2 linked regions of the Sus scrofa genome follow. The protein of the gene in region 1 interacts with the protein of each later gene in a pairwise test. Links are inferred from orthologs where the notes say so. Each region holds a gene or a part of one and is shown on either strand. Other genes may lie near its edges.

Region 1 (2,834 bases):
TTTTATTTATTTTCTTATTTACTTTCCCTTCCACGTTCATAAGTTTATTGTCTGACCTGAGCAGTCATCTTTCTTCTCAAGCACTCAGGAGAGTGGAAACAGTAAGAAATGGTTGGTGGGAACACCACTGCACATTATTAAAACTCACTTTTAAAAATACCTGAGCAAAAAAGTGAATAAAAACAAATGAAATAAATAAAATAAAAATATCTGAGCAAGAGGTTTGCCATATTAGTGTCCTCCCCCTGAAATGCTTTTTTAAATGAAGGGGAAAAGCCCTGTTTCCAATGGTTTGTTGCAGTCACCTCCTAAACTGCAATGGCATCTTCTCCAACTGAGAATGAGGAAATTCACTTCTGCATCCTGACGGCAAATAGCAGAATATATTGAACTGAATAGGAGGAACTGCTCTCGTTGATTGAGTGCTGTCTCTATGTTGGGTACCATGCTAAGCACTGTGCTTACTTCCCACACTGCAGATTGTTTCATTTTTACTTTGTTTTTAATGAGATTCTCCATCATGTAATCCCTGCCATCTTCAACTCATGGGCAGGTAACTTGGTCAATAGCAGACAAAGAGCCTTGTCTTACACATAGTAGGCTCTCGATAAGTATCTTTTGAAGAAACAAACAAATGGATGGATAGCTGAGTTATCTCTATTCTTGAACAATACATTCTATCTTTCTGAATGCAGTCCCCAAAACTTTGCCATTCATTTTTCTCGAGGAATGTCGCATTCAACGGAAACCTTGATCCATGCATTAGAAAGCAGCTTTTATATCAAGTTTCTATTTTAGACATCCTCTTTCAACAAACAGAAATGACATAAACCAAGATCATCTCCTTAGTTTATTTTTTTCCTAGGCTCCTTAGCATGCTACATTAACCTGACAAAGCTTAATCTTGTGTTCATTTCACAATACAGTTCATGCAGTTCACAGCTGTGATTGGTTTTACATTGACATAACACATGTTTCGATTCAGCCATGTGAAAAGAATAATTCTTAATGGAGTTTGTCTCTGAAAACTGTCCAAGCTTAAATAAGCATGAGAGCAGTTCACTCTATTAAATGCAGTTTCTCTTTAAAATGCAAGAAGAATATTTAGCACATGAATATAAGGTCCCTGTTTATAGTCTGTTTGCAACTGAACCACTTCCTTGAGGTTTCACATATCCTGAGGAATCCTCCTTTACAAAATTGCATTCAAGTATACTATTTTATTGAACATTCCAGATTGAGTTTAGGAGCAAGGCTGACCTTCAGCTTTACATCCCCAAATAAATCTTCCATGGGCCCAAGGCTTTCTCGCCTATTCTTAGCATTAGACTCTCTTTTACAATGAACATTCAGCACTAAAGCCACAGAGCAGAGCTATTTGGCATTTTCCAGTGAAGTGCAAGAAATTAAATAAGTTATGTTTTTATTGCTAAGGTATAGAATCAAGCACAGTCACTTTGTCAAACAGAAGGAAAAGGTATACACAGGATGTGGGCCCTCCTCAAGGGGGAGCCCGGGGTTCAAATGCACAGAAAATGTCACCTGGTCACCACCCATCAGGCGCCACTTCTAAGATGATGTGTTGAGTATTCTAGAGTCTGAGGAGTCAGACCTCTCATCATAGTCGTCCTCGGTGTAAATGGACTGCTTTGACACAATGGGACACCCATCCTCAGGGATGGAAATCCTAGGGTCTTCTGGGGCACGGGCAGGGAGGACAGGTGAGCTTCTGAAGACGCTGGCTGAGTTGGTGGGGAAAGGGCTGACATACTGGGACCTCAGCTGGTACTGCTGCTGCAGCGTCATGGTGTTCCACAGGGTGACATCGTTGGGCAGAAAGGGGCTCGACTGGTTTCTCGCCAAAGTATTCCTCAGCATCAGAGGGTACCGGGGCGGCTGGGGGAAGGGGTGTTGCAGGGGCACCGCCAAGGGGTTGGGGACCACGTTACTAGAGTCCGCGGAAAACCTCAACGTGTCTGGGACCCTGAAGGCCGAGCCCACGGACCACTTGGAGGAGGAGATGGGGTAGGAGCTCAGCGTGTGCTCGAAGATGTGCCCATTGGAGGGTAACACCAGGCCCTCGGGCTCTGCTGAAGTTCGCTCTGCGGCCGAGCCGGAGGAGCGGCTGGAGAGGAGGACCTCCACGGCGCTCACCAGGTCGCCGCCACAGCCCTTGAGGATCAGCTCCAGCACCGTGGGCTTCTGGTTGGGAAATATCTTCTTTAACACTTCCAGAGGCGGCCTGTTGGCTTTCAGGCTGAAGGGCAGTGAGACGGTCCCCGAGGGGCCCTCGATCAGGAGGTGGTTCTGCTCCCCTGGATACTTGGGGCTGTCAGGGCGGCTCTCGGAGCTGCCTCCGTTCTTCTGGGCCGCGTACCCGCCTTCATCCACTGACACGATCTCAGGGCTCTCAGGGGTGAAGCAGCCCTTACTTTTGGCCACATCCGGGGAGCTCCTCTGGTCCGTGTCTTTGTCGCTGAAGGTCTCTGTGTTGTCGGTGGTGCTGCTGTCCCCAAGCCGTTCTTCAGCCAGATCTGAAAAGCACAGAGCAGCTGGGTTAATCCTTTCCTGGTGTGCATAAAGAAGAACAGATGTGCTCAAGAGAGGGTCCTACGCCGGCTTTTTAAAAGGGGAAGCGGCTTATAACATACTGCCAGCCTTTAAAAATCCCAACTATGTGATTGGCAAATGGCAAAAAATAAAAACAAAAAGAACTCTGTACATAAAGATCTAGAAATTGAAGTGATTTCTCAAAATGGTGTGTGTGGGGAAGCTGGCTTTCAACACAGAAGAGCAACACGATACCTACAACCGTAGAAGATGTGGCAATCTAG
Region 2 (4,538 bases), on another chromosome or scaffold:
CATCAGAGGACTTGATGAGCTGGCAGGGCTGAAAGGGGAGCCACCCCCCCGCCCAGGTCTGGGCGACTCATCTCCTGTGTAGCCGGATGCACCAGGGGGAGCCCCACCAGCCATGCCAGAGACCTCAGCCCTCCTGCCCCCCACCCACCCACCTCCATCCACTAACCCCATATGTGTTTGTATCTCTACGCAAGACTTGCTTTATGCATTTTAATCTTCATTATTTGAAACTGGCAGAGCCGTATTTAATTAAAATTTGGTCCATTAAAGAAAACACATAATTGCGGAAGAAAATAAAAGCACAGCCAAATCCCCAATCTGTGTTTAAAGGCAGCTGTTAGAGGGTATGGCAGAGCGAAGGGGGCAGAACCCCAAAGCAGAGATGGCCCTGGAAGCTTCCCCCAGGAGACGACAGGCAAGACGCCACAGGGGAACACTGCTCCCTCAGCTCCCGGGACCCCTCCCTGGATCCCCAAGACAAAGTCAAGCTGGCCTCAGGCCAGCAGCCAGAGGGACAGTGGAGCAGGAGCATGGTCCCTCCCCCAGGAAGATCTTGGGAGGAAGCAGCAGTTTGTCCTCCCAGCCTGGGGACAAGGATGGAGCGCTTCGAACGTCTTGTCCCCACCCTCGCTTCCCTTCCCCAGCTCTGTATTCAGAACCGGGGACCTGGGCAGCCAGCGTCCAAAGACCTCCTGTGAGAAAGGAACCTAGGCCTTCAGCCCAGGACCTGAAGCCCCCAAATACCTCACCTGCCTCTCTGCCAGACCCCCAATCCCGGGGCCATTTATCGTAGCTTCAAGTTAAAATGGTTTCGTCCAACCATGTATCCACTCAGACAACATTCGAGAAGCAACCAAGGAATACGGCCGAGCCAGAGGCTCTGGGAAAGCCGGCGAGGAAAGGGCTCCTAGTTTGCCCTTGAGGATTGACAAGTAGGGAGATAAAGCTGCAGGCTCTACGGACCCCCATCGGAAGGGGACTTGGCGACCTCACTGCTGGCTGTGCTCTCTGGGCGGCCCAGGGATAACCTGGCAGGGAGGGGAGCCTATGCAACCCCACCTCTGAATTCTGCCTTCAGGCAAGAGCCTTAAGAAGCCCCCCCACCCCCAGGATCCAGAGGGAGAACCCGCTATGGACCTGGCGCTGTCCATGGTCCTGGCTCTCAGCCACCACCTCCAATCGTGCAGCGGAATGCCCAGCCGAGCTGGGGTCAGCGTCTGAGCTTCCCATGGCCTTAAGGGAGGGGTCAACACTGGGTAAGAGACACTGGCCGAGGACCCCCTCGCCCGTCTGGGTGGGCAGGAATTTCAGGATTTCCCAGGAGGAACAAGGCCCTTTTCAGAGACAATAGCTTCCAACCTGCTTTCCAGGGGAATGTTGGGTGGGGGAGGTTGTCCTGACACCCAGTCACCTGCCCAAGGCTCTACCCTGGGGGAACCCCAGCCCTTCTGTCCCCCCCCCATCCTCCAGACAGTGGTGGTCCAGCCTAGAGGCTGTCTCTTCAACTATAGCGCTGGGACCCCACCTGTGGCCAGGTCCAGAGTGAGTCCCCCCCCACCTTCTCTGGCTGGCTACTCCCTCTCGGCTGACCAGCCCCTGGGCGAGGAGGCAATCCCACCCTGCTGGGCACCCCTCCCTTAGCGCCCCCTCCCCAACCCCAGCTACAGGCCGGGCTATGACAGTGTTGGGGAGGGGTGAGAGCTGCCCGGGGGTGGGACCAGCAGAGCCCAGCCATCCGCAAGAGGCCACAGTCCTGCTGGCCTTGACCGCTGAGGTTGGGGTGGGGGTGGGGGTGGGGGTCGGTCTTCGCGCCCCTCCTGCCTCCGCTGCTCTCTCCGCCCTTGCACCCACAGCGCCGCCCCTGCCCCAGCCTCTCCGAGGCCCGCGAGAGCGGATCGAATTCCCAGCAGAGAGGGCCCCTGCCCCAATTTCGGGGGCCCTCCCTTTGGCGATAGGCCCGCACCCCGCCAAGAGAGAAGGGTGCCGGCAGGAGGCTGGGGTAGAGGTCAAGGCACAGGCAGGGGGTGGGCGGGCCGACTCGGGGCTCCACGCGCCCGCCGGGTGGGGTGCCGCCCCGCGCTGAGCGCTAACTTTGCCTCGGGAGTGGGGCCATCGGCGGGTGGGGTGAGGGGCGAAGGACCCCGAGGGGCAGGGAAGGGGCGCCCTGGCTGCTGCTGCGACTTCCCGGTCCCAGGACCACAACGCGGCTGCTGTCTGCCCCCATTCCCACCTTCGCACCCCGAGTCTTCTCCAACCTAGACCAAACTCGGTCCACGTCCCAGGATCACACACGCTCCCCAGGCGACCCGGAGCCCCAGCTCCATCCCTTCCCCTGCCCCGCTGGCCGCCGCCAAGGGCTCAGGCACGAACCGCCCCCTCTGCTCCCGGGACAGGCACCCCGGCCGGGACTGACCGCACTCGCCCCTGCCCGCGCCCCTTCGGAGAAAAAGACCTCCCGGCGCCAACCGGGAGAGAACTTTACCGAAAAGGTCTCAGGGTGACCAGGCATCTTCTGACCATTATCTTCCCATCGGGGTTGACTGTGATCATTGTTCAAACTTGTCTGGGCGAGGAGCCGCGGGCGAGGCCAGACGCACCGTCCCGGGCCCTGCTCCCGCCGCGTCCGGGCCGCGAACCCGCTGCGGGCCGGAGCCGGATCGGAGCGAGGTCGGGGTCGGCGCGGCCTCGGCGGGCAGGGGAAGGGGAGCGGCGCGGCTGCCGGAGGGCAGCGAGGGCGCCCGGCCGGGCCGTCTCTGCGTCTCCGCCCTCCCCGCTTCACATCTTGGGGGCCGGGAGACGGCGCGCCCCCAGACCGCCGGCCGCGCGTCTGCCTGCTCGGGCTCGCTCGCTGGGCGGGACGGCGCCGCGGCGCGCAGACGGGCTCCCCGCCGCGGGCGCCCTCATCCCCGGGCCCGCGCCCTCGGTGCCGGCTAGAGGCGGCCCCGGGCCCGCGCCCCGGCCCCCCGCGCCTCCGGGCCGCGCCGATCCTCCACCCCGCGCCGCGCCGCGCCCATGGCTCCGGGCGAGAGAGCCCGGCGCCCGCCCTGCCGCCTGCTCGCTCGGCTGCCCGCGCCCAGGTGTCCGGCGTCCGGCCCGCACCGCGTTACGCCCGGAGGCGCCGCATTGTTTCCTCGGAGGAGGCGGCGGAGCAGCGGCTGGGGCGGCCGAGGAGCGGCCGCGGCGCTTCCTCGGCGCGCTGGCGCCACCTCGTGGCCACGTCCCAGCAGCGCGCTCTCCCGGCCCGGGGCGGGGCTCCGGAGACCGAGGGGCGGGGGCCCTGCGTCTCCCTCCAACCTTCCAACTTCTCGGGCGCCGCTTTCCGAAGCATCCGGGTGCCACCAGCTCTGTGGGCCTCCGGCGGCTCGGGCTCCTGCTGAGCACAAAGGAGGTCGGCGCTGGGAGGAGACTCCCACTTCTGCCCGGGGCCAAGGCCCTCCCTCTGGCCACTACCGCTGCCTCGGCTGCCGCAGTGGGCTTCTGCACCGGCCCCTTCGCACCCACAATGATGTCGCTTCGCAGCCCTCGCCCATCCGCTGGCTCTCTCTGGACAGAAACTGCAGCTGCTCCCCTTCGCTTACTGAGTTCAAAGTTGGCCTGTGACACAGGCTTGTCCACCGAGAAGCAGCCGAGAAGCAGGAGCGCGCTCTGAGGCGTCTCATCTCAGACCCTCTATGAACCAGCCAGGAACACGTACAAGTCAGGGGGACTCCCTGGCCCTGGTTTCTCTGCTATGAAATGAGAGTGGCCCCAGGTTCACTTGGGCCCCTTCCAACTCTGTAAAGAATGCACCCCCCCTCCTCCCCAACCCCAGCCCCCATCTGCTTCTTGACTCTGGAGAGGTGTCTACTATTGCAGGGGAGGGGGCAGAGGTCCCTGTGAGCAGCTCCCAGAGCCAGGCCTGGATGTGAGCGGGCAGCTCAGGCAGGAAGAGCCCTTGCTGGACACGCCTGACCAGGCACAGACATGGGAGGCCCAGCTGGGAAGAGCTCCAGGCCTCTGGCCATGTGTGAAATGATATGGATGACATGAGAACTTTCCAGAGGAGAAAACCTCCTTTTTGTCTTTTTAGGGCTGCACCTGCAGCATATGGAAGTTCCCAGGCTAGGAGGTCACATCAGAGCTACAACTGCCAGCCTACACCACCGCCACAGCAACACCAGATCCGAGCCACATCTCCACCCTACGCTGCAGCTCTCAGCAACGCCAGGTCCTTGACCCCCCGAGCGAGCCCAGGGATGGAACTCACATCCTCATGGATATGAGTGAGGTTCTCAACCCACTGAGCCACAGCGGGAACTCCAGGAGAAAACCTTTATTCTGGGCCGCCCAGCCCTTGTCCAGTCCACCTAGGCCCCCCGCCCCCAGCCCCTCTGCTGCTCACCCGGCCTGCCTCCCCCCACCTCCTGTCCATTTCTCCCCAGCAGTGACTCACGTTCTGCTTTTCCTGCTCCTTCTCGATCAAAATTCACCTGTCCCATGTTTCATTAGCTCATCGCCCTGCTCTCCGCTAATGGGAAAAACGATGATGAATTGGTGTT

What was found.
Region 2: the proteins of DMRT3 (region 1) and MGAT5B interact in a two-hybrid assay, tested with the Homo sapiens proteins (2 studies listed by BioGRID). The two-hybrid records come from large-scale screens. The link is inferred for Sus scrofa from reciprocal best matches to the Homo sapiens genes DMRT3 and MGAT5B.

Annotation. Positions count from the first base shown.
Region 1 is NC_010443.5:220,818,988-220,821,821, forward strand, and holds the end of DMRT3 (doublesex- and mab-3-related transcription factor 3), read right to left. Parts: intron 2,535-2,834; coding exon 1,570-2,534; 3' UTR 538-1,569; downstream 1-537. UniProt on the Homo sapiens protein: Probable transcription factor that plays a role in configuring the spinal circuits controlling stride in vertebrates.
Region 2 is NC_010454.4:4,727,235-4,731,772, forward strand, and holds the start of MGAT5B (alpha-1,6-mannosylglycoprotein 6-beta-N-acetylglucosaminyltransferase B), read right to left. Parts: upstream 2,862-4,538; 5' UTR 2,551-2,861; coding exon 2,483-2,550; intron 1-2,482. UniProt on the Homo sapiens protein: Glycosyltransferase that acts on alpha-linked mannose of N-glycans and O-mannosyl glycans.